Canis lupus familiaris: one gene and its partners. The protein of the gene in region 1 purifies or fractionates together with the protein of each later gene. This does not show direct contact. Links are inferred from orthologs where the notes say so. Each region holds a gene or a part of one and is shown in the gene's direction. Other genes may lie near its edges. The genes, in order: GATAD1, SIN3B, RBBP4, HDAC2, PHF12, MORF4L2 and histone-binding protein RBBP7.

Region 1 (4,078 bases):
TTCTTTCTCTCGCTGAGGCATGCCACCAGCATATTCACTGAGATGCCTCCTAGTATGCCAAGTCTAGAAAATCCAGCATCCTGAAAACAGGTAGGACACTATGAAGTGAGGCTGAAAAGCAGAGACCCGTTTCTCTGGGGAGGCCTGTTCAGACCAGCGACTTGGATAAGAGGGGGGCTGGCTTGTCATAATGCTCTCATCCTAGGCCAAATCAGTTATTTGGCTTTCCACCCTCATGCTCTCAGCGGCCTACGGCTTAGAGGCTGCAGGACCTGGGATAACATCACCACCCAATAGCTAAGGAACATCTGCTTGACATCATCGTAGGCTTTCTTACTTTTTAAAGATTTTATTTGGGATCCCTGGGTGGCGCAGCGGTTTGGCGCCTGCCTTTGGCCCAGGGCGTGATCCTGGAGACCCGGGATCGAATCCCACATCGGGCTCCCGGTGCATGGAGCCTGCTTCTCCCTCTGCCTGTGTCTCTGCGCCTCTCTCTCTGTGACTATCATAAATAAATAAAAATTAAAAAAAAAAGATTTTATTTATTCATGAGAGACGCACACAGAGAGAGAAGCAGGCTCCATGCAGGGAGCCCGACGTGGGACTCGATGCCATGCCGGGTCTCAGGATCAGGAAGGCGGTGCTAAACCGCGGAGCCCCCCGTCCCCCCGCCCCGGGCTGCCCCATCCTAAATGTTTTAAAATGTGTCTCAACTAATGCATGAACGTCAATAGACACGACACATTCAGCACAAGTATCTGGGGGGTCTACACTGTAATCTTCAACAGCGTACAGGCGTCCTCAGGAGTGCCAGACTTCGCAAATAAAAACACAGCACCCGCAGTTAAATCTGAATTTCAGAGAAACCAAGAATAGTGCATGGGATACACTCATATCAAAATGGCACTCGTGGTTTCTCTGAAATTCAAGTTGAATTCGGCGTTCTGCATCTCCCCGGCCGATCCCAGACCTAAAGCCAAAAAAAAGCCCGCCCGCCCCTCCCGCAGAGGGAGACGGGGGTCCCCGCCACGGTCCGCTTCCGGGGAGCCCGAGGGGGCACTTCCGGTCAGAGGGCCGGGGCCGCGGCGCGCAGGCCCCACCCACCGCCGGAAGCCGCGCGGGCCAGGCCCCGCCCCCGGCCCCGCCTCCCGCCGCTGGGGCCGCCGCGGCCGCCGCCTGTCGCGGAGCGGGTGTCGCCGCCTTCCTGCCTCCAGGGGGCAGCGGCCGCCCTCAGGTCCCTGCGTGGACCGCTCGGCGCCCGCGCCGCTCTTCCTGTCGCTGGGAGTGGCGGGCCGGCCGGCGGGCGGCCCGAGCCGGCGGTCGCCATTCCCGTGTCGCTGCGCCCGCGGGGGCCGCCCGAGCCCGCCACGATGCCACTGGGCCTGAAGCCCACCTGCAGCGTCTGCAAGACCACGTCGTCCTCCATGTGGAAGAAGGGCCCGCAGGGGGAGATCCTCTGCCACCACTGCACGGGCCGGGGCGGCGCGGGCGGCGCGGGCGGCGGCGGCTCGGGGGCGGCCGGCGGGACGGGGGGCGGCGGCGGCGGCGGCGGCGGTGGCGGCGGCGGCGGCTTCGGCGCGGCGACCTTCGCCAGCACCTCGGCCGCCCCTCCGCAGAGCAACGGGGGCGGGGGCGGCAAGCAGGTGAGCTCCTCCGGGCCCCCCCGCGGAGGCCGGCCGGCCGGGGGGCGCGGTCCCTGCGGGGCGCGGTGACCCTGCTGGGGAGGCCCGCCCGCTCCCGCCTGGCGGGGATTGCGACTGTGTAGATTTGGCCCGGGCGGAGCACCTTCTATTATTGTGAGAAATTGAAAGTGTAAAGGAGCAAGAAAATTTAAGACCCTTCAGAAGTCCCCCCACCCCCACCCCCCCCCTCAGTGTAGTGACATCCGCGGTGGTAACCAGACATCTCACACGTGTACACACGTAAATAGGGCCGTGCTGCTGGACTGACTTCCCTGTTAATTTATTATGTTACTAAGTAAGATTATCGTGTCCTTGTTTTAAATGACAGCACGGTAAGTATCCCACTGCAGGAAGGGCCATACCCAACGTGCTCCCTGGGGTCGGAGAGTTCTCCTGGACTATAAACAACAAATAAGTAGTCCTCCCCTTGCCCTGGACTTCCCTCCGACGCCTCCCCCAGGCCCTGTTGTAAGGAGTTGACACCTTTTTGGAGGCTCTGCAGATGCTTGTCTAGGGCGCTCCCTGTTGTAATCAGCCCAGTCCCGGAGGTACTTTTTCCCAGCGGCAAAAGAAAAGGCACATTCTTGGGTGGTTTTGAAAGGTCAGTCAGCGTAAGGGGCTTACTCTGGAGTCCCCGGAAGATGGTTGAATGGGGACAGCAATCTTTCTACGACTTTGATCTTTTTTGTTCTTTAATTGTTTCTGTAACAGAGTAAGCAGGAAATTCACAGAAGGTCTGCTCGGCTGAGAAACACTAAATACAAATCTGCTCCAGCTGCTGAAAAGAAAGTTTCCACCAAAGGAAAAGGGAGAAGACATATTTTTAAATTAAAAAATGTAAGATGATTGTGGACAGTGTCTTTTACAGTAATGGCCTTGTGTGTGTAGTGTGTCCTGTCACTGCCTTCATCTCCCATCTGAACTTTTGCTCTTCCGGGGCCTTTCCGCAGTGTCCTGGGGGAGTGAGTGGTCCACACTTGCTGGAAGGAAGTGAGCTCTGTTGCAGGAGGTATACATACTATTTATAGTTAATAATATCCTATTTTTTTAGCTTTTTTTTTTTTTTTTCCTGCTGGGAAATAAAAGGTTTGAGTCTGAAAAAAAGAAACATAAATCTTGAATGCATTTTATAGGGTCCTCCATGCAAAGGAAGAGGTGGGATTATGGTTCTTGATAAGGCCAGATATATTAGGGAAGAAATTTTTTTTTTGATTCTTTAAAGATCTAAGTAAATAATACTGGAACTCATTCATTTCCACATTTGTTTATTACAGCCCCAGAAAGTTTACGATAATCAATTTGATGAATGTGAATCAAAAATTTTGCTAAACCTTCTGCTGCTATAAAAAAATAGATGGTTGGAAGATGTGTGTGTGGGGCGGGGGAGTAGTTGAAAGTGCCTTTTGTTGCATGGAGTTCTCAGTATTTTTGTAAACACAAGAGGAAAATGGCCATACACAGTGGGCAGTGCATTATAGACGACTTTTTTTAAACCTCAGTACGGTGTTCTTTTCTTTCAGAACAGGAATGCTTCCCTTACCACTAAAGGAAGTTCTGAAGTTGGGCATATTCCCTTGTAAAACACAGAGGGGCCCTGTGGTAAATTATTATTATTATTTTTTAAGATTTTGTTCATTTATTCATGAGACAGAGAGAGTGGCAGAGGGAGAAGCAGGCTCCATGCAGGAGCCCAATGTGGGACTCCAGGATCATGCCCTGGGCCGAAGGCAGACACTAAACCGCTGAGCCACCCAGGCATTCCCCCTGTAGTAAATTCTTGTGCAGATTGCAGATTCTTTTCTTACTGAAAATAGTTGCCCCTAATTTTTTTTTTAAGATTTTATTTATTCATGAGAGACACAGAGAGACCGAGAGAGAGAGAGAGAGAGAGAGAGAGAGAGAGAGAGGCAGAGACACAGGCAGAGGGAGAAGCAGGCTCCATGCAGGGAGCTCAACTTTGGACTCCAGGATCACGCCCTGGCCGAAGGCAGGCTCCAGAACGCTGAGCCTCCCAGGGATCCTCCAGTTGCCCCTAATTTATTTAAGACTTTTCTAATTTAGTTTTCTTAAAATGAGACACCTGCTAACAAAGCATGTTAAGTCAACGTGCGATTGATGATAGTTGCATCACCACATGTTTCCCTCTGTGGTAGAATATGCTCTGCAGTTATTTCAGTAGCTATTTCTCTAGCAACCCCTGTCTTCAAGGATGATACCAAGACACATTTCGGGAGGCCTGGTTTTTGTGTTGTGACATATAAGCATGTACTGCAGCTTAAGAAGGGATTGCTGTAATGGGTGGGTGGTGGTAAATAACTAAGAACTGCCAAGGAAGTTGCATATAGTCTTAGTTCAGCTTCCCTGGAACATTTCCTCTGATGACAAGGGTCCCAACT
Region 2 (3,500 bases), on another chromosome or scaffold:
GGCCACTGCACATGCCCCATCAGGAGCCAGTGTGCATGTCCAGGGCAGGAAGGCAGGTGAGAGCCAGGCCATCCTTCCCCAAAACCCTCTTCCTGGCTCCTCCCACCTGCTGCAAACACTGTCATCCCCCTTGAGCCCATGGCCTGCATGGTCACTCCGACCCTGTGGCGTGTGGCCCTGTACTCCCCGTGCCTGAAGCCCAGAGCCCTGGATCCCAGCCCCTGGTCACCAGGAGAAACCCCCTGGCCCACACTCTAGATGCACATTCCACTTGGTATCCCGGTGCCTCTAAGCCCCTAGCCTCCTTCACAGAGTAGGGCCCTCCCCACTACTGCAGCCAGTGGGGGTCCCCTTGTGGAATCCTTCCCTGTGGGCCTCAGGGCTTCCCAACAGCAGATGCTTTCCCAGACAAGTGTAGGTGGGGGTCTGTACACCCTGCTCCTTCCAGAAGTTTCCAGCAAATGTGGTTTTGTGAGGCTTGAGTCTGGAGGAGCCTGTGGCTTTTAGAAGGTGGTGAACAGAGGGAGGGTCACTTGGACACGGCAGACCATGCTCACCCCTGACCTGAGCAGCCCCTGCAAGCCCTGCCTTCTGCTCATCCCCAACTCCTGCCTGGCCTGTCCCTGCCGCTCCTCGGATCCAGCTCCTCTGTGTGAAGGCCCCGCTCCCTGGGGGAGCTTGTCACGTGACGGGTGCAGAGAGGATGTCATATAGCAGGTGTGCTTATCCACCCAAGCGTGAAATGCCACAGCTGTCTACCTTGTGGCTCTGGGCAAGTGCTTCAGCCAGAGCTGCTGCCATCTGGTGGCTCCTCAGTAGCTGCCACCCTCCCGATGCTTTGGGAAACTGAGGATGAAATCCCTGGGAGCCCCTGAGCTCAGGGTCCCAGGTGAGAGGCTGGTGCCTCCAATGACACGGGCCTGTCTCCCCATGTCCCCACAGCACCTGGCTCGGTATGTGGAGCAGTATGTGGGGACCGAGGGGGCATCCAGCTCGCCCACCGAGGGCTTTCTCCTGAAGCCCGTGTTCCTGCAAAGGTAAGAGGACCCCCAGATGTGGTTCCTTCCCGGGGGACCCGCTCCCACCACCGGCAGCAGCAGGGCCCAGCACCAGGGCCTGACTGGTTTTCCCCGTGTTGCTGGCCAAAGGGGTAGGGTAGTGGTTTCCACCACATCGGTCTGCATTTGTCTGACCCCGGGGAAGTCAGCCGTCTTCCCGGCGTTTACGGGCTGTGAGGATTTCCCAGTCTGCAGATCCTCCTCTCGCCTCCAGGAACCTCAAGAAGTTCCGCAGGTGGCAGTGTGAGCAGGTGCGTGCCCTGCGCGGCGAGGCCAAGAGCTCCTGGAAGCGGCTGGTCGGGGTCGAGAGCGCCTGCAACGTGGACTGTCGCTTCAAGCTCAGCACCCACAAGATGATGTTCATCGTCAACTCCGAGGACTACATGTACCGCCGTGGGACCCTCTGCCGGGCCAAGCAGGTGCCCCTCTCTGCCCGGGGCCTGGGAGCCACGGCTGTCTGGGAGTGGTGTGCACCCTTTTTCCCCCCAGGATCCGGCCCACGGCTATCTGGGGCTGCCCTGACTCCCCTCCCCACCCCCTTCTGCAGGTACAACCACTGGTCCTGCTGCGCCACCACCAGCACTTTGAGGAGTGGCATGGCCGCTGGCTGGAGGACAACGTGACAGTGGAGGCGGCTGGCCTGGTGCAGGACTGGCTGATGGGCGAGGAGGACGAGGACATGGTGCCCTGCAAGACCCTCTGTGAGACGGCACACGTGCACGGCCTGCCTGTGACCCGCTACCGAGTGCAGTACAGCCGCCGCCCAGCCTCGCCCTGACTCCCTCGGTGGGCGCCATGACGCGCGGTTTGGTGCAGCCACTTCCCTGGCCCAGATGTGCATCGGGGCCTTCTCATGAACAACCTGAGGGGAGCACAGTGTCCCCCAGCCTTGCTGCTACAGGCTGCGAGCTCTAGAGGATAGGGTTGTGTCGGCTTGTGGCCCTGTGCTACCATCCCTTTCGGCTTCCCTGCTTCCTTTGGGTTTATCCCGTGCCAAACCTGACCCCTTCCTGCACTTGAACTCGGGGCTCGCTCCTTGCTGGAAGGGGGAGGATCAACACGCTGGCCGAGGAGCAAGTGATGGCCTTTATGCACCTGCTGGGCCGCTTTCATCACACGTGCCAAATCCCTAGGTGAGGGCACCACTGGTCCTTTTGTGCAGTGTCTGGAAAAGTCCGTGATGAACTGCGCGTTGGGGGGCATGTGTGGGGGAGGGGGTCGGCATTCAAGAGACCCCAACATCGAAGGAGTCGGGCCTGGGGGATCTGCTTGAAAAGCTTGTCCTTCCTGAATGGTTCTAAAAGCTTCTGGAAATTTCCCAAGCTGGGACCATGCCTGCATCTGATAGTTTGGGCATGGGTGTGGCCCTGCTAATGCGTGGGGTCCTTGGTCACTTTGAAAGCAGGAGGAGCCCTTTGGGCCAAACTGTTGAGATTCTGCTTTGGTGTCAGGATGTGGCATGGGAGGCCCCACCCTGGAAGAAATGGGACTCCAAACCCTGTGTTGACATGGCAGCCACACTCCGAGCTCCCGAGGGGAGGGGGCTCAGCCTGAAACTCCCTTGGAGCTCGAGTGGCCCCACACTGGTGGGGGGGCCAGAGGTGCGGCCATGTACCTAAGAAGGACATTCTAGAAATATATATATGCACACAAGTATTTATTCATAAGCTCTCCTAGTGGTTGTAACTTCTGCAGCAGCCAAGTCCCACGGTTCCTTGGGCAGTTGAGAGCCCTCTTCGTGGGACTCTGCAGGTCTGCCCTTGACGTTGCCATTCCTAGAGCCACCACCTGGACAGGGGACAGGCATGAGGGGCTGAGGCGACTGCCCTACAGAGGCTTTCTGTGCCAAGAATGCCAAGCAGTCTGGGCTGGGGACCAGCTCTCTAGAATTCCTGCACCATGAAAAGTCCTGGCCGGGCTCCTGGCACCATCAGAAGGGGGTCAACCAACAGGGGCTCCAGAACCATCCCCGTGCGGCCTCCTTTCTGCCCAGCAGCAGCCCTCACCCTCCCAAAACTGAGCTGTGCCAAATATGCAGTTCTGGGGATTGGAGATGTGTTTCTAGAAGTTACCTGTGGAACTCAAGGTTTGCAAAGCCTTTGACTCGGGGTCTGGGCGATTCCAGGGCCAGTGTGCCCTGCCCAGGGTCTTCTAGCCCATGTTTGCTCAAGTGTACCAGGCACTTTGTCCACATCCTTGTTTTATAAGAAGGGAACTTACCGGAATTCCTGAACCAGACCCTCCCAGCGCCATCCTCCGGAGCCCGTGGCCCCTTCCGTGCCTCTCTGCGGCCCTGGGGTGCGGGCCACACCCCACTGAGCCCCGCCCTGCATGCTTCTAGGGAGCGTCTCTTCTGTTTTTGAAGAATTTCTGTTCTGGGGCTTGTACTTCCTTTGCAGCTGTTTTGAATGTAGTTTTTCCTTTTCTATTTATTTGCACATT
Region 3 (3,021 bases), on another chromosome or scaffold:
CTTCCAGTTTATTCATGGTGGTCACACTGCCAAGATATCTGATTTCTCCTGGAATCCCAATGAACCTTGGGTGATTTGTTCTGTATCAGAAGATAATATCATGCAAGTGTGGCAAATGGTAAGTGGTGTCATTTATTTGGGGGAAGTTAAATAAATGAGATGTAGTATCACTTCATATTTATCGACTTTACAAATACAGCTGGCATCTCTGGTTAGTTTACTCCTAAGTATGATTTTAGCATTTGCTGCACATTATCATTTTCAAGTGCCTGCTCATTGCTTTTAGCTGCTTATCACACTGCTTATCTCAGACTTAAGGAAACCACACTTCTCTCCTCCTCCTCATTCCCCCTTTCTCCCGATTTTCCTGTTTCCTATATGGCTCCAGTGTAGTGTCCCGCCCCCCCCCCCGCCCCCCAGCGCATCCAACTTGAAAATTCAAGAGTTCTTCATTAATTTTTTTTTTAAGATTTTATTTATTTATTCATAGAGACAGAGAGAGAGGCAGAGGGAGAAGCAGGCTCCATACAGGGAGCCTGATGTGGGACTCAATCCCAGGGCCCCAGGATCACACCCCAGGCTGCAGGCGGCGCCAAACTGCTACGCCACCGGGGCTGCCCGAGTTCTTCATTATTTATTCACCTCTAAGTCTAGTTTACTTAACAGATTTTACATTGTATGCATTGTTTCTTGTATCTGTACTCACCTTACAGATAAACCACTTACATACCCCACTTTCCTATTTCTACTACACACCCTGATTTTTTGGTCATGTTCTCATTACTACTTGCTAGACTCTTGCAATAGCCTCCTTGCTGGCCTCCTGCTTTCCCTGCTTTGCTAGCTGTTGAATCTTTGGGAATGATCATTCCTTTGATGTGGTTTGTGAACATGCCTAGCACAGTTTCTTTTTTTTTTTTTTTTTTTTTTAAGATTTTTTTTATTTATTCATGAGAGACCCACAGAGAGAGAGAGGCAGAGATGCACAGAAGCAGGCTCCAGGCAGGAAGCCCGATGTGGGGCTTGATCCCAGGACTCCGAGATCATACCCTGGACCAAAGGCAAAACGCTCAACCACCCAGGCATCCCCCTAGCACAGTTTCTACCACAATGGCACAGAATCACATACTGCCATTTCTCCATGAAGTGTTACTAGATTCCCAAAATACTCCTGCCCCTTTTACCCCAATTGGGAATTGATTACCCGTTTTTGAATTTCCCGAGTGCTTGGAATTTAATAAGATATCTTTATTAAATTGTCTAATATATAGCAATATAAGAAACATTGGCCTTCTGGAGATGAATGGTGGTGATAGTTGCAGACAAGGTGAATGCCACTGAACTGAACACTTAAAAATGATTAAGATGGCAAATTTTTATATAATAATTTTTAAATTATTTTTATAATTTTAAATTTTTATTTTTACCACCATTTTTTAATTGCATAACTTTTGAATGATCGTGGCCTGATGAATGAAAAGATTTGGAAAAAAAGCTTTTGGTGTTTTAAAGTAGATGTAGAGGTAGGAATAAGCTCCAGGGGAAAATTTTTGGTTCAGTGTAAGGAAAAATACTTTAAATAATCAGAACTCTCTTGAAGAATAGCACTATTAATCAAAGTTAAAGAAATGAAAAGAAAGGGGATCCCTGAGTGGCTCACCGGTTTAGTGCTGCCTTCTGCCCGGGGCATGGTCCTGGAGTCCAGGGATCAAGTCCCACATCGGGCTCCCTGCATGGAGCCTGCTTCTCCCTCTGCCTGTGTCTCTGCCTCTCTCTGTGTGTCACTCATTCATTAATTAATAAATAAATAAATAAATAAATAAATAAATAAATAAATAAATAAATCTTGAAAAGAAAAAGAAAAAGAAATGGAAAGAAAAAAAATGAGTTTTTGTGGCTTATGAGATTAACAAGTTACATAGTATATCCATACTTTGAAATGTTATATATCCAAAAGAAATATGCTTCGTTTTCATAAGATATTCATGACATGAAGTAGGGAAAAAAGCAGATCGTTGGACAATAAATAGCATTTTATAATCCCTCATATTATTATAGCTAGTCTTGAATTTAATTATATGTAATTATTTAGGAGGCTCTTTGCCATAAGATTGGTATATTTAGGGAGTTTTTTTATTTCTTTTTTTTTTTTTTTTTTAAAGATTTTATTTATTTATTCATGAGATACACAGAGAGAGAGGCAGAGACACAGGCAGGAGAAACAGGCTCCATGCAGGGAACCCGACATGGGACTCGATCCTGGATCTCCAGGATCATGCTCTGGGCTGAAGGCAGCGCTAAACTGCTGAGCCACCCAGGCTGCCCTTTGGATTTCTTTATATACCTATCACTATTACGATTTGTAATAATAAGTACGTATTACACATATAAACAGAAAATCTACCTCACCTTTTTCCTTGTAATATATGCATAGATAATTAATATAAAAAGTTAAGAGCTCTTTAAACATTTTTTAAGATTTTATTTATGCACACATGTGTGGGGTGGGGGGCAAAGGGAGAAAGAGAAGTGGGCTCCCCACTGAGCAGCGAGACCAATGTCCTCAGATGGGCCTCAATCCCAGGACCCTGAGATCATATCCTGAGCCAAAGGCAGTCTTTTAACCAACTGAGCTACGCAGGTGCCCCTAAAGTTAAGAGTTCTGACAGGAGGGTGATATGTGCTGCCTTGGGATAGCCTGTCAATTAAACCTATTTTAGTTGCTGTGGAATGTTGCAGGATATTGAACTACATCATCTTCAGGCCAGTTTGTTCTTTTGCTCCGTGTTTTTAGAATAGTGGTAAAAGAACAATAGAATTGTTAAACAAGTGAATATTCAGTGTTTGTCCAAGATCCTAAAACCCTTAAGGTTGTCTAAGTGGTAGGAGTCTGTTTTTAAGGAGCCCCTTTTGGCCATACCTGAGTTTAAGCTAAGGAGGTAATTTTGGGGCCTCTGGAAGGCCTCAGGATGGGATTGGTCTCCTGAAAAAAACAGTTGGGAGAACTCTTCAGTCGTGTCA
Region 4 (4,282 bases), on another chromosome or scaffold:
ATTATTATTACTTGTATTGTAATAATCCCTTTTTTTAAAAGAATATTTTATTTATTTATTCATGAGAGACACAGAGAGGCAGAGACACAGACAGAGGGAGAAGCAGGCTCCATGCAGGGAGCCTGATGCGGGACTCGATCCCGGGACTCCAAGATCACGCCCTGGGCCAAAGGCAGGCGCCAAACCACTGAGCCACCCAGGGATCCCTGTAATAATCCCTTATATTCACACAGTTCTTTAATGTTTAAAAATGATTCAAAAAAAAATGATTCCATGTTTTCTTATTCGAGGGACTCAATATTCACATGGGGAATTATTCAAGTAATACTGCCTCATTTTACAGATAAGGCAAATTAGACCAAAAAATGTTTAAGCGACTCGCCCCATGTCGCGAGCATAGAGATGTAATTACATTCAAAACAGACATAGTCCTTAGTCTTGTTAAACTCTATTCTGATGAGAAGTTCAGAGAAGTTCAGAGAAGTTCAGAGAAGTCGTGAGCAACCTCCGCATGGTATGGAGCCAGGGCGCTAGGAGGCCCCAGGACAGACGATGGGAAGGGCAGAGAGGCAGGCCCCAGCCCGGGAGGTAGGTGAAGTCAGGGAGATTTTCTTGAGGACCATAAAGTCCCATTTCAGCCTTCACTCTGTTGGTCCTGAGAATAGAGGTTTCTACTTAGAATCTACCAAACTGCTTTGGGACTTGAATAAAACTGTGAACGTCAGTATCTTGTAATTAACCTTGAGCCCATGTTTCCCACCCTGCTGCCCCCCTACCAGCCGCGTGGGTTGCATGGAGCGCTTGTTCAAAATACAGACTTGGCAGGAGGGGTGGGGAAGGGATTACTTTGGAGTTTTCTAGAAACTTTTTGGGGTGAGATCCAGGAAAATTACTGCTTTAAGTATAAACACCTTGGGGATTCTGAAGTCAAATAGCAAAATAAAGAAGACATTTTTGGTAGTGGCTCTAAATGGCTTCTGCTCCAATAAGGCTTTTTTTTTTTTTTGGATGAGTACCTGGAAAAGTGTATTTGGGGTATTTGGGAAGGGATTACTTTGGAGTTTTCTAGAAACCTTTTGGGGTGAGATCCAGGAAAATTACTGCTTTAAATATAAACACCTTGGGGATTCTGAAGCCAAAGAGCAAAATAAAGAAGACATTTTTGGTAGTGGCTCTAAATAGCTCCTGCTCCAATAAGGCTTTTTTTTTTTTTTTTTTTTTGGATGGGTACCTGGAAGAGTGTGTTTTGGGGGTATTTGGGTACTTGGGGGGGGGACTGTGAAAGATACAGTTGGGATGAGAGCGCTACTTTGCAGATTGTCAGTGCCCCCAGGCCTCACGTGCAAGGTGTTGGCTTAGACTAAGTGCATGCTTGATGCATGTTTGTGGATTCGCTCATCGGGCATCAGTATTTGCAACTTCCATGAGTTTTGCAAGCGCTGTCTTTGGGGTTCCTGCTCCAACCTTCGGGCGCCCGGCCAGGAGCAGCTGCAGCAGCTGCAGCAGCTGCACGAGGGCGTGCAGGTCCGGGAGCCAGACGGAATGCACCGGGACCCGGGTCCTGCAGCCGGCAGGCCCGGGTCCCCCCATCCGCGCTCCGGCCCACAGAGGGGGCGGCGACCGCGCCTGCGCCCCGCGCTCGCTGGGGTCTCGGCAGGTCTGTGTCGTGCACGGGACGGGCTCCGTGCAAATGCTGCCAGTGCACAGGCTGAGGGCTGTGCCGTGCGCCCCAGTGCACATGCGTGCCCTCGACACCCCTTCAAACCCAGGAAGTACGGCCTGCAGCCGACTGGCCCTATTAGGTCCCCCTATGGGGTCGGGGCCCCGGAGCAACTAGCAAAAAGGAAAAGGGAAGAGAGAACGAGCGCAGGGGCAGGCGCGGCGGGCCGGGCGGCCGAGGGGGCCCGAGGGGTGCAGGCGGGGCTCCCCCCCCCCCCGGCGGCGGCGGCACGTGGTCGGCCCGCGCGGGAGCTCCGCGCCGTGGGGGAGGGGAGCGCGTGGGCCGGCGCCGAGGGGCCCGGCGGCCGCTGCAGCCCGGCGGCCGCCACTGCGCAGGCTCCGGCCGGGCGCAACCACCGTGCGCGGGCGGGGGGGGGGGCGGCCCGCGGCGCCGCGCTCCTCCGTCGACCGGCCCGGCCTGCCGCGTCTGCCTCCGCCGCTGCCTCCGCCGCTGCCCGGCCGCGTCGCCGGTCGACCGCAGGCCCCCCGCGTCCGGGCCGAGGGCCGCTCCCCGCCCGGCCGCCCCCGCCCGGCCGCCCCCCCCCCCGCGAGGCCGCCGTGGACGCGCCCGCCGCCCCTCGGCCCCCGGAGGTGGTTTGGCCGCCCCCGCCCCTCCCCCTCCCCAGTGTCGCGCGTCGGCGCCGCTGCCTCCCCCGCTCGGCTCCGCTCCGGCCCGCTCGGCCCGCTCGGCCCGCTCCCGCCCCGCGGCCTCCGCGCCCAGCTCCGCCCGCAGCCGCCCCCGCCCCCGCCCGCCGCGGCGCTAGTGTCCCCGCCGACCGGGCGGCCCGGCGGCAGCAGCAGCAGGCGGAGCGGCCCGAGCCCGAGGCGGCGGCGGGAGCCCATGGCGTACAGTCAGGGAGGCGGCAAGAAGAAAGTGTGCTACTACTACGACGGTGAGCGCCGGGGCGGGGGAGCGGAGGGACGGGAGGGACGGGGCCGGGAGGGACGGGGACCGCGGAGGGCAGGGGAGGGGAGCGGAGGGACGGGGCCGGGGACCGCGGAGGGGAGGGGAGGAACGGGACGGGGCCGGGGACGCCCCGGGACGGCCCGCCCGCCCGCCCGCCCGCCAGGCCTCCCCCTGCCGACGCCCCCTTCCCGCCCGCCCGGCCTCCCCCCTGCGCGCCCCCCCTGCCTCCCCCTGCCGCCGCCTCCTTCCCGCCCGCCCGGCCTCCCCGCCTCCCCCCCCCCTGGCCTCCCCCCTGCGTCCTCTCTGCCTCCCCCCCCCGGCCTCCCCCCTGCCCGCCGCGGCCGTGTGGGCCCCGCTCCGGCCCGACCCCTCCCCCCGGGTCAGGGCAGCTCCCCCGGCCCGGGCTCCGCACAAAGCCCCGCGGCCCCGAGGGCCCCGCCCCTCCCTCCTCCCCTCCCGGGCGGGGGCCGCCGCCGCGCTCGGCTCCGCGCTCCGCCCCCAGCGTCGGCCGGGCCCCCCGCCCCGGTCCCCGCCCCGGGTCGGGCTGCAGGGCGGCCCCGGGCCCCCGCTCCCCGCTCCCCGGCTCCCGCGCCCCGGCCCCGTCCCGCTCCTTTGTCCGCCGCCGGCCCCTTCGGGCGCCCCTCGCTCCGACTGGGAGGCGTGAGGCCGCCCTGGCTCGGCGGGCGGGGCGGGGCGGGGCGGGGGCGCAGGTGCCCCCCGCGGGCCCGCCCAGGCGCGGTCACCACCCACCTCTTTGTTGCTCTTTGTTCGGTCAGGAAATAACACCCGGGCGTCGGGCTTGCGAAAGCCGCTGCCGGGCGCTGGGAGTTTCGGGTGGGAAAAGTTCGAGGAGGGCCGGGTGAGCAGGTGGGCAGGTGGGCAGGTGAGCCGTGAGCAGGTGGTGGACAGGTGAGCCGGGGTGCGGGTGAGCAGATGGTGGACAGGTGAGCCGGCGGACAGGTGAGCCGGTGGGCAGGTGACCAATGGGCAGGTGAGCAGGCTGACAGGTGAGCCAGTGGGCAGGTGACCAATGGGCAAGTGAACCGGTGGGCAGGTGACCAGTGAGCAGGCGAGCAGGCAGACAGGTGAGCCAGTGGAAAGGTGAGCCAGGGGGCAGCTGACCGATGAGCAGGTAGGCAGGTGAGCCTGGGGGGGCAGGTGACCAGTGAGCAGGCAGACAGGTGAGCCGGTGGGCAGGTGACCAAGGGGCAGGTGAACCGGTGGGCAGGTGACCGTGAGCAGGTGAGCTGGTGGGCAGGTGACCAGTGGGCAGGTAAGCTGGTGGGCAGGTGGCCAGTGAGCGGGTGAGCAGGTGAGCCTGTGAGCAGGTGAGCAGGTGACCGACCGGTGAGCAGGTGACAGGTGAGCAGGTGGGCTCCAGCCGTGCGGCCCGCGGCGAAGTCGGCTGCCCCGCCGTGTGGAAGCAGAGATGCCGCGGCCCGGCGACCTGCAAGCCCCGCGGTCCGTCCGAGGCCCCTGCGCGGGGAGGGGGCGCACCTTCCAGGCCCAGGTCACCAGACGTGCGATTCTACCTTGAAAGTGGCCGGGTCGCGTCAGGTCGGTCCGCAAGGCTGAATCTCGACGCCCGATTATGTAAAATGACCACCTGCGGCACTTATGGAAAAACTTAAAAACGATACATAAGAAACCTAGATA
Region 5 (2,237 bases), on another chromosome or scaffold:
CTAAAGAAACAGGGAAGGGGGCGGGGGGGGCTTGACTGGGGAAGAAAGAGAGCTCCCGAGGTAGAGCAGCACAGCCTTCTCCATGTGTCCTCTCTCCCCTTAGCCCCAGGCCCCACGCAGCAGACCACACATCTTATCTTCCCTCCTCCTCCTCAGAATACCAAACATTATGAGCTGTTAAACTACAGTGAGCACGGGACAACGGTGGACAATGTGCTGTATTCATGTGACTTCTCCGAGAAGACCCCGCCAACCCCCCCAAGCAGTATTGTTGCCAAAGTGCAGAATGTCATCAGTAAGTTGGAGCCTGTGGCCACAAAGCTGGCCATTCTTGGACACATTGTGTTAAGACCCCTGTCAGGGTGGCTCTGGCTTGCTGCCAATGACCTGCTCTCACCTTCCCGGTCCCATTGGCCAGGCTCTCCTTGCCCATGGGCCCAGGGAAAGCCACAGAGAAGCCAGTGCTATGGGTACATACACCTCCTTAAGGACTTCCAGCTCCCTGGGGCCTTTCCTGGTGTCCCTCAGCCCTAGGAACACAGCATTTAGAAAGGGGAGGAACAGAGCCCCAGCCAGGGGCAAACAGCCCAGATGGATTGGCTTCTCACCGTTCCTCTCCCAGTGATGGCCCTCTTTCTTCCCAGGGCGCCGCCGGCACCAGAAACAGGATGAGGAGCCAAGCGAGGAGGCAGCCGTGATGAGCTCCCAGGCCCAGGGGCCACAGCAGAGACCCTGCAACTGCAAAGCCAGCAGCTCGAGCTTGATTGGGGGCAGTGGGGCCGGCTGGGAGGGCACGGCCTTACTGCACCACGGCAGCTACATCAAGCTGGGGTGCCTGCAGTTCGTCTTCAGCATCACTGAGTTTGCGACCAAACAGCCCAGAGGCGATGCCGGCCTGCTGCAGGATGGGGTCTTGGCAGAGAAGCTGTCTCTCAAGCCCCACCAGGGCCCTGTGCTGCGCTCCAACTCCGTTCCCTAGGACGGGCAGCTGCCCCAGCGCCCACCCACCCGCCCCACCCAAGACTCCTGCGATGCAAAAATGTACACAAACCAAGCCCGGGTTTTTTCTAGACTCCACCAGAAACCCTTCAACCACAATCTTTGCATGAAATGAAGAAAAACCTTTGACTGTTTTTTAAAAAATCCTTTTTCTTTTCTCAAGTTCTAGGGGGCATTTGCACATACATTTGTACTCAACATTTCATGGGAAAGCGGCAGACCCGAGCTGAGGAACAGCGTGGGCAGGGAGGGGAAGGCTGGCGGTCTGGACACGTCCTCAAACATGAAACCGCTCCCCACCCGACTCCCGCCCCCTCCCCCTCCCCCGCCGTTGTAAAATAATCAGAAACTTGTTCTATTTTGTGGCAGTGACAATAGTTTTATATTAAAAGAAAAAATACAGTTTTCATACAGCAAAATCTATACAATATCATTGTTTTATTTAATATAAAGATCGCTACCCACCCTACTTCCGTGGTTCCTACCCTCCAAGTTATTTTCCCTTTCTGCAGCGGTTGCACTACAGGTAGCTACTGTGTATTATGGACAAATGAGAAATGAATTCTTTTTCTGGCTGTCCATTTATTTTATTTCAAATAAGGAAAAGTGTATTTGGATTTTGTGTAAATACATCCAGTGATGACATTTTTTCAATGTTTTTAAAAACTGTACAGTACTACATGTGGTAGAGCGTTTTCTTCAAATTGTCTATTGTAGCAAAAACGTTTTTGTCGTAAACCTGTTTTGTCTCCTTTTTTTGTTCTCTTGCCACTTCTCTCCTGTTCCTCCCACCCCTGGCTCCCTCCTTTCCCCACCCTCCCACCCCTAGTAGTACCAATGTACATAGTAATTGTAATGTTTTAGACTTTACAGAAACTTTCCTGTATTCTGTATATAAAAAAACAAAAATACTTCAAATTATGTTTTCTGCCTGTCTGTCCTACCTGTCATCACCCTTACAGAGGGGACCCTCCCCCAAGATCCTGGTCGCAGTCTCTGAATTCATTTCATTCCCAGACACTCAGTCCCCAAGGGAAGGCAGGAGGGTGGAAGGTCTGGGAGGAAAGTAAGCCCAATATAGGTGTAGGAAAGTGAAGGGCTAGGGTTGCTTCTGCTAAGGGGGAGCAGGGGGCTGTTGTCTGGCTTTATGGGTGACTTGAGGAAATCACTTGATGCAACCATATACAAGAATCCAAGAGGAAAAAAAAAAAAAAGAATCCAAGAGAGTGGGCCCTTGC
Region 6 (4,107 bases), on another chromosome or scaffold:
AAAAAATAGTGAAAGGGTATAAAGGGGAAAGGAGAAGAAATGAGTGGGAAATATCAGAAAGGGAGACAGAACATGAGAGACTCCTAACTCTGGGAAACGAACTAGGGCTGGTAGAAAGGGAGGTGGGCGGGGGCTGGGGGTGACTGGGTGACGGGCACTGAGGGGGGCACTTGATGAGATGAGCACTGGGTGTTGTGCTATATGTTGGCAAATTGAACTCCAATAAAAAAAATAGATAAATAAATAAATAAATATAAAAACAAATCTCGGCCCTCACCCCTCTGTGTGTGCGTGTGCACATGCATGCATGCACACAAGTGTATATGATTGATAATTTAAAAATATTAATTTTTGTTTTTTTGAAGTTTATTTATTCACCCATCTAATAAGGAATTTGTGAGGAATAAAAGAATATCCATGTATAGGATATGACACAGGATCTAAAATATAGAAAGCATGCAAAAACCTAAGTATCAGTGAACATAAATCGTCTACTCAAGGTCTCACAGCTAGTAAGCCGGGAATTAAAATTAAGTCTCTAACTCCAAAGACATAACAAAGTGTAGCAGTACCACTACAAAAAATAGGGTGCAAACACACTTATTTAATAAAAATTTGAAGAGAAAAAGATCAGTTTTCAATATCAGGGTCCAAGTTCTTATCTGTCTTTATTGACTAAATATCCACCTACATTTTCCACTGGGGAGTGTTGTTAGCATTGGAAAAGATGCACAGAAAAGATTCAGATCTTCATGGGCATCAGTGCCTGGGGTCATTGATCAATTCTGACCCCACAAAAAGGCAAGGAAGAAAGGAAAGAGGGCTGGAGGGGAGAATTTTTTTAAAGAAGAAATAAGGAAAAACATATGAATCTAGAGCTATAGTTCTCTGTCTGGTTGGGCTAATTACAAATGTTAATTTGATTTTTCCTTAGCAATGAAAGATATACATGACCTCTATACATTGTGGAATTCAACAAATCAGAAAGGGGGGTAAAGGGATCCCTGGGTGGCGCAGCGGTTTAGCGCCTGCCTTTGGCCCAGGGCGCGATCCTGGAGACCCGGGATCGAATCCCACATCGGGCTCCTGGTGCATGGAGCGGGCTTCTCCCTCTGCCTGTGTCTCTGCCTCTCTCTCTCTCTCTCTCTCTGTGACTATCATAAATAAATAAAAATTTTTTAAAAAAATCTAAAAAAAAGAAAGGGGGGGAAAAATCCCAGGATTCCAGGGACTAACAGCCAATCCTTTGCTGGGATTTGGTGGCATCTAGTGGCAGATTCAGGAGGTATAAACCTCACCCAGAGAACTTTCTGGAAAACTAGCTGAGTGCTACTTGCCTGAAGGGCACTGTGCTTGGAGATCAAAACAAAAAGGTAAGAGAGCCTCAGCTTCTACAGAAATTGAGAGTCTCTATGTGTGTGTGTGTATGTGTATATATATATATATACATATATATATATATAGAGAGAGAGAGAGAGAGAGAGAGAGAAACTGAAGGGGAAGGTTATCACATACAGATATTTGAGGCAGAAAATTGTGTTTGTGCCAACAGAATGGCAGGCAACGTTGGAGGGGGGAGAGAGGATACTAGGGAACCGAAAAAAAAAGCTGCTCTTTGGAATTGCTAAGATGGGAACGTTTGACTCTTACCTTTTGGACGGCTATGGTTTAAAACAGGATTTTGGCAAGAGAAAAAACGTGGGAAGCAAGTGTATTTTTACGGTCTGAAATTAAATCGCTAGGAGAGGTAAAAATATTCCTGGCAAATGCTCTTTATTGGTTATGGTCGCCTTGACTTATTTTATTTTTCATTAGAACAATTTTCAAACTTCTAGAAAAGTAGAGAATATTCTGTACACAGCGCGCGTGCACGCGCACATGCACATACGCATGTGCGCGCGCATACACGCACGCCCGGATTCCAGGACACACGCCGACCCCAACGCTGTCTCTCAACGCTAGGGGCGCACGCCTGCGCACAGACACCACCTCCAACGCCACGAGGGCTGCCGCGCGCACATCCCAATCTCAAGGCCACGGGAGCTCGCCCGCGCACACAGAGGCCCCAACACCACGCCCACACACACCCACCACCCCAGCTTGTACACACATTAAAACACCCGCTCTGTTTTCTTTTTCACTCCGATAGTTGCGCAAGAGGTTGGGGGCGTGGCCCCAAATTTGACCTCGCGCTTCCCCACTCGCGGGAACCTTAGCTCATTTCCGCCCATCCTGTTTCCGCAGGCCACGTAGGCACTTCCTTTCCCAGTGGAAAAAAAAAACCCATAATGCCTCCCTGCAGGGGAAAAAAAAAAAAAAAAAAACTCTGGCCAGGGGAACTCTGGGTCGTGAAAATAGGCCACGTGAACACCCTGCCCTATAGACTTATGACCCAACGGCTGTCGCGCTTTTGAAGGGCGGGCTAAGAACCTAAGAGGGCAAGCGTCATTGGCCAGAGCCTTCTCTAAAGCAGAAAGATGATTGGTTTGCTTCAAGCCTTAACCGTGAAGAAGCAGGTTGCTAGCACCCGCCTTTACTGCGGCGAAGAGTCATCGCTGACGTGTTAGGCTTCGTCCAATCATTTGGTTATGGAACATTCTAAAACTTAGACAAGACGATTATCATTGGCTGGAGACCATAAGCCCGCCTCCAGGGTGACGTGTCTGCCTATGGATATCAGTTGCCAGAGAAACCTGGCTTTACTATGGCGGTTGGAGGGACGGCAGTGATCACACGTCGGCTGCTGGAAAGAACTGGATTCTCGTTTCAGGTTTCGGGGTGGGGGTGGGGTGAAAGGGTTTATGGTTTATTTCTATCGTCGCATATATTGACAATATTAAGTAGTGCCTTCACAGTTGGGCAGAGCTGCTTTCAAATTCCTACTCGCCAACGCCCAGCTTGGGCTGGCTCCTGTTCTTTCAGTGTCTCGGTTTCCATGTTTGTAAAATGGTGATAGTGATAGTATCTACCTCAGAGACGTGTACCTCAGAGGCTTGTACTGTGTATTAGTGCGTATAAGACGCTTAATACCAATCCTGGTTCCGAAAGATATTCGCTATTATTGTGGAGTGAAAAACCCGCGTAATAGAATGAGAAAAAAAACAAATTGTGTAAATTTGTTCATTACAGTGCTTTTTCTGCTCATCAGATTCTTCTTATAAGAAATTTGAGCTTTAAAAGAGACATATCAATCTTTGCCGATGAAATAATTTACTATTTGAGAATTAGCTCAAAATAGCGGGGATTGGAATTTTCCATATTGAAAAGTTTAAAAGGCGGGGGGTGGGGGAGATGGAGAACGAGAGCGATGAGGAGATGAACCACATGCGATGAGTAGGCCTTGTTTGGATCCTGATTTGAACACACCAACTTAAAAACACTTTAAGATGCATCGGGAAAATTTGAAAATGGATTTGATGTGTTTTTTTTTTTAAGGAATTGAAGTCAATTTTTTAGACGTTATAATGGCATTAATGGTTGTGTTTTCAAATTATCTTTATTTTGTAGAGGTATATAGGAAAATATTTGTGGATTAAGTAATAAAATGTCGGAGAATGACTTCAAATACGTTGATGACTGGGATTTGCTTCAAGATAATCTCAGCGGTAGAGGGAAGTGGGGAAGGGTATAGATGAAACAAAACTGGCCCTAAGTTAATAATTGTTTGAGCTAAGTGATGGGGCATATGAGGTTCCTTTTATTATTCCGTCATCCTTGGTATGTGTTTGACATTTTCTGTAATAAAATACATAAAATCAGCTATTCAGTGAGCTTAAAAAAAATCGGAGTGGGGGGAGCAGTGGGTGGGGTTATAGATAAAGCAAGATGGCCTTCAGTTGGTAATTGTTGAAGCTGGGTGATTGGTATAGGTTTATAATACTCTTCCTTCTACATTTTTATTCATTTGAAATTATCCTTATTAAAAAGTATAAAAATACAGTTACTTTATCAAAAATAAGGATAAATGTACAATAAATTTGAAAATATAACCACAAAAAAGGAAAAAGACACATTTGTACATTATTTATCAGCAGTGGTGTCCTTTGTGTGTGATAAAATGCATTGGTTGATGGAGAAAAAAAGGATCTCATATCTTTTTACTTTATG
Region 7 (3,500 bases), on another chromosome or scaffold:
GCGAAGGCAGCCGCCCAACCACTGAGCCACCCAGGTGTCCCTCTGTAACATATTTTTAGTTCTTAGGGCAGTACTAAGTCTTGGTACACTTGGGCTTTGCCCACTACTTTTAAAAGGTAAGGGCGGCCCTGGAAGGCAAGCCCTAGGAGATGCTCACTAAACTCTCATGTTGCACAGACATCCCGAGATCCCCTTACTCCTTGTCCAGCATGTTACCATGTCAGACGGCAGTGGACAGAAAGTGACGAGGGTATGACGACAAGCCAGCACGTTCTGTGCACCACTGATGAAGGAATAGCATTTCTCAATAAATTAGACAGATGACAGCACCTAAATGGTTTATTCTCCATTGAGTGACTTAATCTGAAAAGTCCGTTTTGTGAGGCACGGCTTCATAGTTTTATTTTCTAGCTGAGGTGCTGCTGTCAGCTGTTTTTGTCCAGCTGTTTGCACTTTTTACTTTGGTAAAAACTTTATTGAGCTAGAACTCTCATACCATATAGTTCACCTATTTAAAGGCTATAATTCAAAGGTTTTTGGTCTATTCACAGAATTGTACAGCCGTCGCCACAAATCCATTTTAGAACATTTCCTTCCCCTTAAAAAGGAACTGTCTACTCTTGACCACCTCCCAGTCTGCTTCTTTCCTCAGTCCCCAGCAACCAGTGATCTGCTTTGTGTCTCTAGGTTTGCGTATTCTAGATAGTTAATAGAAATGTAATATAAAGTGGTCTTTTGTGACTGATTCTTGTACTTTGCGTAATGTTTTCAAGGTCTCTAGCTATTTTTGGATACCCTTTATATTACAGTTAACAATTTTTTTGGTCCTTGACGAGATCCACTAGGATTTTGTTCCTTTCACAGGAGAGCCTGAAATCAAGGGATACTTACTTGTAGTGAACTGGATGCTAAGTATAATTTTAGTATAACAATATCTTGATTTGAGGACTCCTTATATATTCCAAGGCTTATGGTCTTAATATATTTTCCCTTATGTCCCCCTTAACGATTCTGGAAAGCTGTTCTATCATTTTTAAACTGGGGGGAAAATAGCTAAAAATAGTTACCTTGCATGTAACTTATTTGTCATCCTCAGTCAAATCAGACTTTGTCAGGAAGTAGGAGTTCTCTGTCCAAAATCGTGTATTCATACTGTCCCTATGAGAATGGTTTCTTCCCATTGCTAATTCTGAGGTAAGGAAAGCCCAGTGCCTTCCCATGAGTGGTCTGTGTCTTATAGGGAAGGAGTCTCTGCCTCCTTCATCATTTCATAGCAAAGCCCTCTGCCTCGCCTTTCTGGGGCTTTGCTTTGGACCCCTGGGTTGGTTTTGGTTTTTTGAATCCCCACCCTGAGTGATGCACCTTGGAAAGATGCAGGCTGGTGGGGAGGTGTGCCTTTCTCTTAGCAAGAGGGAGGAGGAGGAGCTCTAGAACTGGGAGACTGACTCCTCGGGTGGGCCTGTTTTGGACTCTATAACAGAACATTAATTTATTGTGTAGACCTAACTACACATAACTGATAATGAGGCTGAATTACTGTTAAATGTATTAGGTATGTCAATGGCATCATGGTTGTGTAGGAAAAATGTCTTTACCTTTGGGTGATGTGGGGTGAAGTACATGGGCGATGGCTCAGTAGGCGTGTCTGTGTAAGAAAATGCACTCGTGAACATGTTAGAATTGGGGGAATGTAGGCAAAGGGTATCCCAGGCAGTCCCTGTACTGTTCTATCACCTTTTCTGAGGGTTTGGAAATTTGCAAAATGAGAAGTGGAGAGGTAGATTACTGAGCCTGTAAGCCCCTCCCTTTAAACCTCAATTGTAAGACTGATGCTCTAAAAACGGCTAACATAAGATATGAAACGAAGGCTTTTAAAAATTCTTATTAACAGTTTATTCATGGAGGACACACCGCCAAGATATCAGATTTTAGTTGGAACCCCAATGAGCCGTGGGTCATTTGCTCGGTGTCTGAGGATAACATCATGCAGATCTGGCAAATGGTGAGCTAAAATATTTCTCTTTGCTGGATGAGAAGAAGAGACAAACTATTTACTGGAAATGTTTCTATTATAGATTGTGCATATTACAGCAAATCTAGAAAGGCAACAATCTGAAAAGATCTTTCTCCATTTTAACAAGTCTTTAGTTCACTATGCACCTGTCAGGTCAGGAAAAATCTGTGTCTACACACAGATGGGGACACAGCATCTGTTCCACTTTGCGGGACGGTTGTGCACGTCCTCGGCGGGGCTCTTGGCATCGCTGCTGAATGTCCAGTGTCTGCTGTGCGTCCACGCATTTGTAGGATACCGAGTTCTCGGATGTGGAGTACAAAGTACCTGATGTTTCTGAGGTGGTGTTTACCCTCATTAACTGCAGGGCCATTGCTTCATTTCAGTGATGCTTGAAATGCTGTTTGGGAAACACTTTTTACAATAGAAATACGTAGGGGGCGGGCAGCTTGTTGGTATAAAGGTGGAATTCCCTGCCAAATAAGAACGCCGGCAAAAAAGAAAAAAAAAACGCTGGCCCTGGTTTTTCCTCATTCAAATCTTGGGGTGGCGGGGTAGGGGGGTGGTGGCGCGTAAGGAGACTACTAAGTAAATTACTCTAAAAATGTCTAACACACAAACACGTTGACCAGTGAATCCTAAAGTCTAGACAGTTAAATGCTGTTTGTAGAGAACTTTGTAAAAACCATGGGGAGTTTTACCTGTGCGTTTATTTGGTTGTCCTCTCTAGGCTGAAAATATTTACAATGATGAAGAGTCAGATGTGACAACATCGGAACTGGAGGGGCAAGGATCTTAAAACCCAGAGTACAAGAGATGTTTCTATTGAATGTAATGCTACACGAATGCTTGGTTTATCAAGCGCCGAAAGGCATTGTATAGTAGGAGATGTAAGTGAGATGGCATATGGCGTTCTTTACCTTCTGATTCTAGCACTTTCAAGTGAGCTATTGCGTACTGTATCATATTGTAGCTTTTAGGGAAGAAAGGAATGTTGTTTTAAGAACGAACATCACTGTTGTTTTAAAATACAAGTAGCAGGGTACTGCCTTTGATTCAACTATTTTAAGTCCTTGTTTTCTCAAACTAAGTGCTTGCTGTTCCCAAATATGCAAGAATAACTTTTACACTTTTTCCCTCCAACACTTGTTGATTGGCTTTGCAGAAATAAAGTTTTAAAATAAATTCTGTTTTATTCTCTTAGAACCTGGGTAAGGAGAGCATGAGTGTGTGTTGTGTGTGTGTGTGTGTGTGTGTGTCCCTTCTTGGGAGCAAGCTGGTATGTGTGTGGAACAGGGTACACGAGAGTGTCCTAATCGAAAGATGGGGAGAGGTTAGACTTGTACACCTGGAACTACCTTAACACATCTGTTGCCCCTGCCCCATGAAAGCTTGTTTGCTTATACGGCAGGGGTCAGCAAAGGGGACAAACCAGGTTGGCCTCTCCACCTACCACCTATTTAGTAGGACCTGCCAAAAGGAATGG

What was found.
Region 2: the proteins of GATAD1 (region 1) and SIN3B purify together in Homo sapiens (affinity purification with mass spectrometry; 5 studies listed by BioGRID and IntAct, with this or other methods). This does not show direct contact. The link is inferred for Canis lupus familiaris from reciprocal best matches to the Homo sapiens genes GATAD1 and SIN3B.
Region 3: the proteins of GATAD1 (region 1) and RBBP4 purify together in Homo sapiens (affinity purification with mass spectrometry; 4 studies listed by BioGRID and IntAct, with this or other methods). This does not show direct contact. The link is inferred for Canis lupus familiaris from reciprocal best matches to the Homo sapiens genes GATAD1 and RBBP4.
Region 4: the proteins of GATAD1 (region 1) and HDAC2 purify together in Homo sapiens (affinity purification with mass spectrometry; 4 studies listed by BioGRID and IntAct, with this or other methods). This does not show direct contact. The link is inferred for Canis lupus familiaris from reciprocal best matches to the Homo sapiens genes GATAD1 and HDAC2.
Region 5: the proteins of GATAD1 (region 1) and PHF12 purify together in Homo sapiens (affinity purification with mass spectrometry; 7 studies listed by BioGRID and IntAct, with this or other methods). This does not show direct contact. The link is inferred for Canis lupus familiaris from reciprocal best matches to the Homo sapiens genes GATAD1 and PHF12.
Region 6: the proteins of GATAD1 (region 1) and MORF4L2 purify together in Homo sapiens (affinity purification with mass spectrometry; 4 studies listed by BioGRID and IntAct, with this or other methods). This does not show direct contact. The link is inferred for Canis lupus familiaris from reciprocal best matches to the Homo sapiens genes GATAD1 and MORF4L2.
Region 7: the proteins of GATAD1 (region 1) and histone-binding protein RBBP7 purify together in Homo sapiens (affinity purification with mass spectrometry; 6 studies listed by BioGRID and IntAct, counting the BioPlex papers as one, with this or other methods). This does not show direct contact. The link is inferred for Canis lupus familiaris from reciprocal best matches to the Homo sapiens genes GATAD1 and RBBP7.

What each region holds. Positions count from the first base shown.
Region 1 is NC_049235.1:17,996,099-18,000,176, forward strand, and holds the start of GATAD1 (GATA zinc finger domain-containing protein 1), read left to right. Parts: upstream 1-1,278; 5' UTR 1,279-1,370; coding exon 1,371-1,643; intron 1,644-2,393; coding exon 2,394-2,519; intron 2,520-2,632; coding exon 2,633-2,691; intron 2,692-3,202; coding exon 3,203-3,281; intron 3,282-4,078. UniProt on the Homo sapiens protein: Component of some chromatin complex recruited to chromatin sites methylated 'Lys-4' of histone H3 (H3K4me), with a preference for trimethylated form (H3K4me3).
Region 2 is NC_049241.1:46,153,594-46,157,093, reverse strand, and holds part of SIN3B (paired amphipathic helix protein Sin3b), read left to right. Parts: intron 1-942; coding exon 943-1,037; intron 1,038-1,272; coding exon 1,273-1,477; intron 1,478-1,605; coding exon 1,606-1,836; 3' UTR 1,837-3,500.
Region 3 is NC_049223.1:68,034,542-68,037,562, reverse strand, and holds part of RBBP4 (histone-binding protein RBBP4), read left to right. Parts: intron 1-7; coding exon 8-118; intron 119-3,021. UniProt on the Homo sapiens protein: Core histone-binding subunit that may target chromatin assembly factors, chromatin remodeling factors and histone deacetylases to their histone substrates in a manner that is regulated by nucleosomal DNA.
Region 4 is NC_049233.1:70,481,222-70,485,503, reverse strand, and holds the start of HDAC2 (histone deacetylase 2), read left to right. Parts: upstream 1-1,482; 5' UTR 1,483-1,542; coding exon 1,543-1,657; intron 1,658-2,473; exon of another isoform or gene 2,474-2,560; coding exon of another isoform or gene 2,561-2,612; intron 2,613-3,376; exon of another isoform or gene 3,377-3,614; intron 3,615-4,282. UniProt on the Homo sapiens protein: Histone deacetylase that catalyzes the deacetylation of lysine residues on the N-terminal part of the core histones (H2A, H2B, H3 and H4).
Region 5 is NC_049230.1:43,045,776-43,048,012, reverse strand, and holds the end of PHF12 (PHD finger protein 12), read left to right. Parts: intron 1-156; coding exon 157-295; intron 296-644; coding exon 645-979; 3' UTR 980-1,737; downstream 1,738-2,237.
Region 6 is NC_049260.1:77,644,975-77,649,081, reverse strand, and holds the start of MORF4L2 (mortality factor 4-like protein 2), read left to right. Parts: upstream 1-1,307; 5' UTR 1,308-1,373; intron 1,374-2,559; exon of another isoform or gene 2,560-2,770; intron 2,771-4,107. UniProt on the Homo sapiens protein: Component of the NuA4 histone acetyltransferase complex which is involved in transcriptional activation of select genes principally by acetylation of nucleosomal histone H4 and H2A.
Region 7 is NC_049260.1:13,067,211-13,070,710, reverse strand, and holds the end of histone-binding protein RBBP7, read left to right. Parts: intron 1-1,891; coding exon 1,892-2,002; intron 2,003-2,744; coding exon 2,745-2,813; 3' UTR 2,814-3,199; downstream 3,200-3,500. UniProt on the Homo sapiens protein: Core histone-binding subunit that may target chromatin remodeling factors, histone acetyltransferases and histone deacetylases to their histone substrates in a manner that is regulated by nucleosomal DNA.